Linked DNA regions of Oryzias latipes. The protein of the gene in region 1 binds, or shares a complex with, the protein of each later gene. Links are inferred from orthologs where the notes say so. Each region holds a gene or a part of one and is shown in the gene's direction. Other genes may lie near its edges.

Evidence for each region.
Region 2: the proteins of mccc1 (region 1) and mccc2 are in contact, whole or in part, in a cryo-EM structure (PDB 8JXM), measured with the Homo sapiens proteins. The link is inferred for Oryzias latipes from reciprocal best matches to the Homo sapiens genes MCCC1 and MCCC2. Residues at the interface, in NP_064551.3 of Homo sapiens: Glu519, Phe526, His531, Asp532, Phe534, Ser535, Pro536, Phe537, Ser538, Ser539, Ser540, Ser541, Gly542, Arg543, Arg544, Leu545, Asn546, Ile547, Tyr549, Thr550, Arg551, Tyr568, Tyr636, Leu637, Ser641, Glu644; in NP_071415.1 of Homo sapiens: Leu56, His57, Val60, Glu61, Lys64, Asp88, Ile91, Pro93, Gly94, Ser95, Pro96, Phe97, Leu98, Glu99, Gln102, Ile123, Gly124, Arg125, Gly128, Glu130, Arg234, Trp276, Leu278, His281, His282, His285, Lys298, Lys299, Leu300, Ile304.

Annotation. Positions count from the first base shown.
Region 1 is NC_019862.2:18,327,681-18,330,748, forward strand, and holds part of mccc1 (methylcrotonoyl-CoA carboxylase subunit alpha, mitochondrial), read left to right. Parts: intron 1-445; coding exon 446-527; intron 528-599; coding exon 600-727; intron 728-807; coding exon 808-991; intron 992-1,066; coding exon 1,067-1,176; intron 1,177-1,247; coding exon 1,248-1,464; intron 1,465-1,538; coding exon 1,539-1,625; intron 1,626-2,030; coding exon 2,031-2,080; intron 2,081-2,157; coding exon 2,158-2,295; intron 2,296-2,404; coding exon 2,405-2,512; intron 2,513-3,068.
Region 2 is NC_019867.2:5,185,328-5,189,148, reverse strand, and holds part of mccc2 (methylcrotonoyl-CoA carboxylase beta chain, mitochondrial), read left to right. Parts: intron 1-140; coding exon 141-255; intron 256-2,703; coding exon 2,704-2,789; intron 2,790-3,821. UniProt on the Homo sapiens protein: Carboxyltransferase subunit of the 3-methylcrotonyl-CoA carboxylase, an enzyme that catalyzes the conversion of 3-methylcrotonyl-CoA to 3-methylglutaconyl-CoA, a critical step for leucine and isovaleric acid catabolism.

The DNA of each region.
Region 1 (3,068 bases):
GAACGGGCCTGCACATGATCTATTTCTTAGTTTGGAGGATTCAGCCAGATTTTTACGACCTTGTCATCATAGATTTTGTTTTTGCTTACCTCTTTGAGAACTTTTGCATTCTCTGGCAGGACGGTAAAAAAGGGAAAACAATAGCAATAAAAAAGAGGTTTAGTGTTTTTCTACAATTTTAGAAGCTGTGCAGGAATTCTCTTTTTTTTAATAGATTTTTATTAAGTGCTTCCATTTGTAAGCTTAGTGTCTTTGTGAGGAAAAAAGCTGAAAAATAAGTGTTTTTCTACACTAAATGGCAAAGATAAATGTTACTGAAGTTTCCTAAACATAGCTTTGTTGTTTTTTATCGGATGTGTTCGAGCTGAGTTTCAGTTTCCAGCATGAAGATCACTTTCACATGGATTGGTTGAAGTTTACATCTTCACGTCTTCTTCTTCTTCAGCCAGGAATAAGCCCTGAGGTTCGGAAGAAGCTCGGCGAGGCGGCAGTCAGAGCGGCCAAAGCTGTTAACTACGTTGGTGCAGGTGATCCTTACTACCAGCTGTTCACCCCAGCTGTTCACCCTTGAGACTCTAAAAACCTTCCCCTTCCTGCAGGTACGGTGGAGTTCATAGTTGATGCTCAGCACAACTTCTACTTCATGGAGATGAACACCAGGCTGCAGGTGGAGCATCCAGTCACTGAGATGATCACAGGAACTGACCTGGTGGAGTGGCAGCTCAGGGTGAGGCTGGAAGAGAGGCCTGAAATGTGAACCATCTGTTGATGTTTTCCTTAAGTCGGCTTTATGGAAATCTCCTCCAGGTGGCAGCAGGGGAGCGCCTGCCCCTCCTTCAGGATGACATCATCCTGAGAGGACACTCTTTCGAGGCCCGCATCTACGCTGAAGATCCAAACAATGAGTTCCTTCCAGGGGCGGGGCCCCTGCTGCATCTGTCCACGCCTCCGGCGGACCGACACACCCGCATCGAGACCGGAGTCAGAGAAGGTGGGGAAGGACGGAGCCGCTTTTGTGGGTTTTAAGGTGGAAAAACGGGGGCTTGACGGCTGATTTTGGCTGCAGGAGACGAGGTTTCTGCGCATTATGACCCCATGATTGCCAAGCTGGTGGTGTGGGGGGAGGACCGCTCTGCTGCCTTAAAGAAACTGCGCTATTGTTTGCGGCAGTACAATGTGAGGGCTGAAGCACATTTGAACCTGTCAATCACCAGAACCGCTCCCAACATGCCGCCTTATGGTTTTAGATTGTCGGACTGAACACCAACATAGACTTTCTGCTGAGCCTTTCTGGACATCCGGAGTTTGAGGCTGGAAACGTGAGCACCAGCTTCATCCCTCAGCACTACTCCGACCTCTTCCCCACTCCCAGAGCCCCGTCAGGGGCAACCATCTGCCAGGCCGCCCTGGGCCTCATCCTGCAGGAGAGGAAACACACGCAGGAGTTCATAGAAACCTCGACAGGTATCCAACGGCTGGGGAGGGTCTCCTAAGAATGAGGTCAAACTCGAAGGTTCTACTGTGCTGTTTGTTTTCAGATCCGTTCTCCCCGTTCGGCTGCAGCAGTGGGTGGAGAAGCAACACGGAGTTCAACAGGAACATGACGCTGCAGATCAGTGACAAGAGTAAGTCAAACTCATAACTGCTGCTGCAACCAAACAGTCAGAGAAAGAAGGCAAGTCTGCACATTTTATTAAAATAATCCATGTCAGAAAAAATGCAACACACTGTTTTTTTCACGTTTTTAAAAGCTTGGGTTGTAGAGAATATCCTGTGAAAACTGTCAGAGGAGAGGAGTGCAGATGTGGGCAGAGTCAATCCTGCATCTGGGATTGAATTTGCTCAGGGGTTTAATGTGCTGGAGCTCATGAATGAACCTGCATTCATCATTAAATGTTTGTATTAAAATGTTTGTGCAGGAGAAAAGGTCAGCCCTTCAGTCACTGCCATCACGGAGGAGCTTTTATTGTGACGAGCATTTGTGTTTGCGCCAAACGTTCTATATTTAAATCAGCTTTTCTCGTCTGCAGAAATCGACGTGCTCGTCGTTTACAAGAAAGACGGAAGCTACAAAATGCTTGTAAGATCGTTTTTTATGTTTTGGTAAAAAATAATAATATTAAGACTAAAATATGAAAGCTTTTTCTTTTCTTTTAGGTTGGCGAGGACGTGTATGATGTGACAGGGGAGGTGGAGGAAAGTGGGGGAGCTTCATTCTTGCATTGCTCAATAAACGGAGTGAAGTCTCGTCCCAAACTGGTGATTTTGGACAGCGCCGTGCACCTGTTCTCCACGGTATGACCTTTTTTGCCTCTTCCAACACAAACATTTATGCATATTTTGAGGTGGCATGTGTCTTTCTGTCAGTGAACCGCATTCCAAAATGCTCACCTCTCTCCTGCAGGAAGGGAGCTCCCAGGTGTCGGTTCCTGTGCCAAAGTACCTGGCTGGAGTGAGTGGGTCGGGGGCCCAGGGTGGAGCCGTGGCCCCCATGACTGGAACCATCGAGAAGGTGAGTTTCAAACTCTGTTCGGAAGGGCATCAGTGAAAAACCTTTGTTTGGTTTCCGTTTGCTTTCCATCCCATTCATGGAGTAGACTGGAACCTTCAAGCTGCTTATTTAGAATTAGACTGAACCAGCTAGGATCGCAAGAATAAAAAATCTAGAAGAGGAAACAAATCCAACTAATAGATAGCAATAGTATGCAAATGAACTCTGCTGTGAATTACTACAGTGTGAATGCAAAGTACTGACAACCAAACTAAAAGTAAAGGGAAAGATGAAAAGGTATTTTACAAAAGTCTAATGCAAAAAAGCACCAACTTGCTACAAATTTAAAAACGCCCTAACTGGTTAGATTCAGTATTCAGGGCAACTAATGTTTTTATTTCATATTTATGATTAAAATTGAGCTTAAGACTGAGCTGGTCTTTTGATTGACAGGGAACCTGTAACCCTTGTGCTATCCTAGGCACTTTAACACTGGGTCATCTAGACCCACTAGACAGTACTCTGAACCTTTTTTCTTCAATGATTTGTGATCTTCACTGGTGTCCATGGATTACAT
Region 2 (3,821 bases), on another chromosome or scaffold:
ACACAGGAGTTCCTTAGAAAAAACTGTTGTTTTTATCTCTATAAGTGACCAGAAGACAGTTAAATAAATAAGTCATATCTATTAAAGATTGTTGGGATTCAACCTTATTCCAAGTTAATAATAATGTATTTGTTTTTCAGTCCTCGCTTCCTGTACATGTGGCCAAACTCCAGGATCTCAGTGATGGGGGGCGAGCAGGCAGCAACAGTCCTGGCCACCATCACTAAAGATCAGAGGGCACGCGAGGGAAAAGAGGTAACGCTTAACGGCGCTCTGCCCGCCCACACTGTGCCCTAAGCATAAACATAATGAAAAAGCCTTCTTTTAGCAAGCGTTTGGCTTGGCGGGGGTGAACCAGCATCAGTGCTGAGTGATGACTGCGATGACCTGCTCTGATTGAATGTCTGTCATAAAAGCGCCCGGGCTCCGCCGTTATGGGTTTATTAAGGGCGCAGTAACGCCTCCAGAATGACTCGTCACATCAGGACCCTGCAGACAGACTCTAACCGTGGGAACAAAGACCCAACATAAAAAAGAAAAAATCTAATTAAAGTTCAGGTTCTGAATATTATCTCTGGATGGTCTTTTCATTTTCTAGACTCATTTATCAGCCGTTTTTCAAAGTTAAACGTTAAAGTTAAACAAGTCTCTTATATTAAGTCACTGATATACATTCTAGTCTTTATTTAAAAAATACCCTATCATGCAGTTTCAGGACTATCGTTCTGAAAATATGTTATATGTTTATGTAAATATGCTATTTATTTTAGTTAGTGTGTTGTGAACAAGATAAAGGAAAGGTTTGTGGTTTTCAGAAAGTGCGTTAATGTGTAAAACCCCATTTCCCAGAAGTCTCTGCATCAAACCACAGTACATCAATGCTCATCTATACTGGCGAATGGGGGACAACAATGCATTGGGTCTGACAGATTGGCCCTAAGAAATTTAGTTGTAGTAGCAGCACCACAGAATAAGAGAAGAGACATGAATCTCACAAGTCAGTGATATGATGTGAATTTAATATTTTTAAATGCACTTTTTATAAATCATTTAGGTTTTTATCCTCAGAACACAGTATTTTAATAGATAGCCTTTTGTATTGTTTGTATTTATTAGGTTTTTACTTTTGCAAATGGGTGACGTGATAATTGCTGTTTATTTAAAAAAAAAAAAAAAAAAAGAAAATAGTCAGCATATGTCCAAATTACATCTGCATTCTGATAGCAGAGCAGCAGCGTCAGTCAAGCGACCTAAAGAGGCGGAAGAAGCTGTGAAAGAAGCCTGGTTCTGGTCTGGAGCTTCTGGAGATGATTGTTTCTAAGGAGGCGTTTTAAGTTGAAAACCATCAGGGAAACGTCTGAAGACCCACTTCATTACACAGTAACTCAGTAACGCTGGGTTCAGTCTGATTTTTAACTATTTTTGGACACAAAAATAAAATATAAGAATCATGTTCAGAATGATAAACAAATACTAAGTAACTTTAGGAGAAATAATTTCACAGTAGCACAGTAAATTGTTAAAAAAACAACAATAGAAAAAATAATTTCTATAGTTTATTGCTTTGTAGCAAACAGCTATAACACTTACAGACTCTGTTTACGTCCCTGCAGTTGATCCACTTTTAAAGACTTCAGCTTGATGGCAAACTCTACTATTGTTCAGAGGTTTTCTGTAAAATAAAAAAATAAACTGCATCCACTGCTGATTAGCAGAAATCCACTTTGGAAGGAAGAAATGAGTCAAAGGCAAAAAAATCTTAGAAAGCATGACATTACATGCATACGGACTCTGTGGTTTTATTTTATTCAAAGACATGAGCGGTTGAAATTACTTTTTGGAAGGAAATCTGTCAGTTCTGGAGGTTGGAGATCAGCAACTTGGGCAAAAAAGATAAGTGAGAGGAAGAAAGAGTGGTCAAAGTTTTGCTTTTCAAGACTTTTGTGATTTCCTAAAATTACTATAATAGACAGAAACCGACTAGAAAAGGTTAAGACCTCTTCAAAAATAAGAACGGACCATTGTTATATTTGCATTCAAATGTGTCATTAAGTGGTCATATTTACATCATATTCAAATATCAGTTGAAATACTTTTGAATTCATGTCAGAGCTGCCAGTTTTTCCCTCTGGAAACTCTTGAAAACATACATTTGAAACTTCAACAAGCATCCAGTCAATCACTCCGAAAGCATTCAGATGGAGACGTTCTGTGAAAGCAGACCCGATTCAATCAACAGGAGGGTGAAAATATTGTTTGTGCGGAGAAAAGCCTTGATTTTGTTGTCTGCATTTTCTCTCTGAGTTTCAGTGATCTGTAACACTGGGATGACTAAGAAGCAACACTGGAAAATAATTGTATAATTTGCCACACAGCAAGATGATCTTCATCAGGCACTATAAAAATGCGCCAGCACAATAATAAAATTCCTCAAAAATGGAAGTGTTTGTAAACCTTTTATAGCATTTTTTTTAACATTCATACAACTTTTTTGGTTTGGTAAATAATGAGTATCTTTATCATTTGAGACAATTGCCTGGACAGAAGTTTCAGTGACTTCCCTGTTTTTTTCCATTTTTTTTTTCCAAAAATCTGCTCTTCACGACAAACGAAGCGACTGTGTTTTCTCTGCTTCACATCTTTAATAATTCAGGCCACCATTAAAGCTTTCTGGCCTTATTCCTTTCTTCCAATTATTCATAGTTCACAGCGGAACAAGAGGCTGCCATGAAGGAGCCGATCGTGCGGCGGTTCGAAGAAGAGGGAAGTCCATACTTCTCCAGTGCCAGGTGAGATTCGTTTGGGTCGCATCTTCAGGCACTAAATCTTGGTGTTACTCAGAGAGAGTCGACTACGTAAGGCAGGAACAAATCATTCTCGTTCCCTTATTTACTCTGACATCCTCCACCGGTCTTCCTGTGATGCTGCAGCAGAACGGAGAAACAATAAGCCAGAATCTCAGCGTGGTAAGAGACGCTGCAGCGCAGCTGAAGTGTATTTGGTCTCCATTAGACGGCCTGCTGGTTTGTGTTTATTGGATTTTCATGTGATCATTATGTCTGTGAGCAGAGCACATATTAAGATGACTGGGTTGTTACAAAGATCATACGTGGAGAAAAGGCTTCTGCATTCCAAACATTTCTGGAAGGCATTGCAAAATGCAATTATTATGAAGTTTATTATGAAACTGAAGTGAGAAATGGAAATCACCTTTTTGCCAGGACCACTGCACTGCTTTAAGGACTCTTTGTGTTCTACTACAACTTCTTCAGAATACTTTGAAGTCCCACTCCGATCATCTTTTGATTTTCAAAGCGTTCATGGTGGTCTTTTAATTATGATTCACCAGTTTCAGCCAAAATCCAAAGACCTGTGTGGCTTTCTAGGACATATGTGTGAGCAATCCTGCTCTCTTTCACCTCCCTGTTGCTGAGAGCTCTCTGTTTACACGCTCTCTCGCTAGCTTACAGCCCTTCACACCCCCAATCTAACAGGACAGGTGCAACAAAGATGGCGAGCAGAAGTGGAACTATCTGCTCGTACAGTTTTGAGCCAGATGCCAGCTCAGGAAAACAAAGACGAATGCATCAGAATGGAGCAGAGCAGAGAGTTTGTGCCACACCCGGTCTATTTTCGACGTCACACATAAGCTCTCTGTCAAACGGCGTTTTTTGTCTCTGCTCCTGATTCCCAACGATTCGAATACACATAAAAGCAATTCAAGGCTTGATTTTTGTTGATATATGTCCTCCATCATGAGAAAAATGCCACAAGAACAGAAGTTTATCTTGCAGCATTCCGGTACATGGGTTCAGAAACTG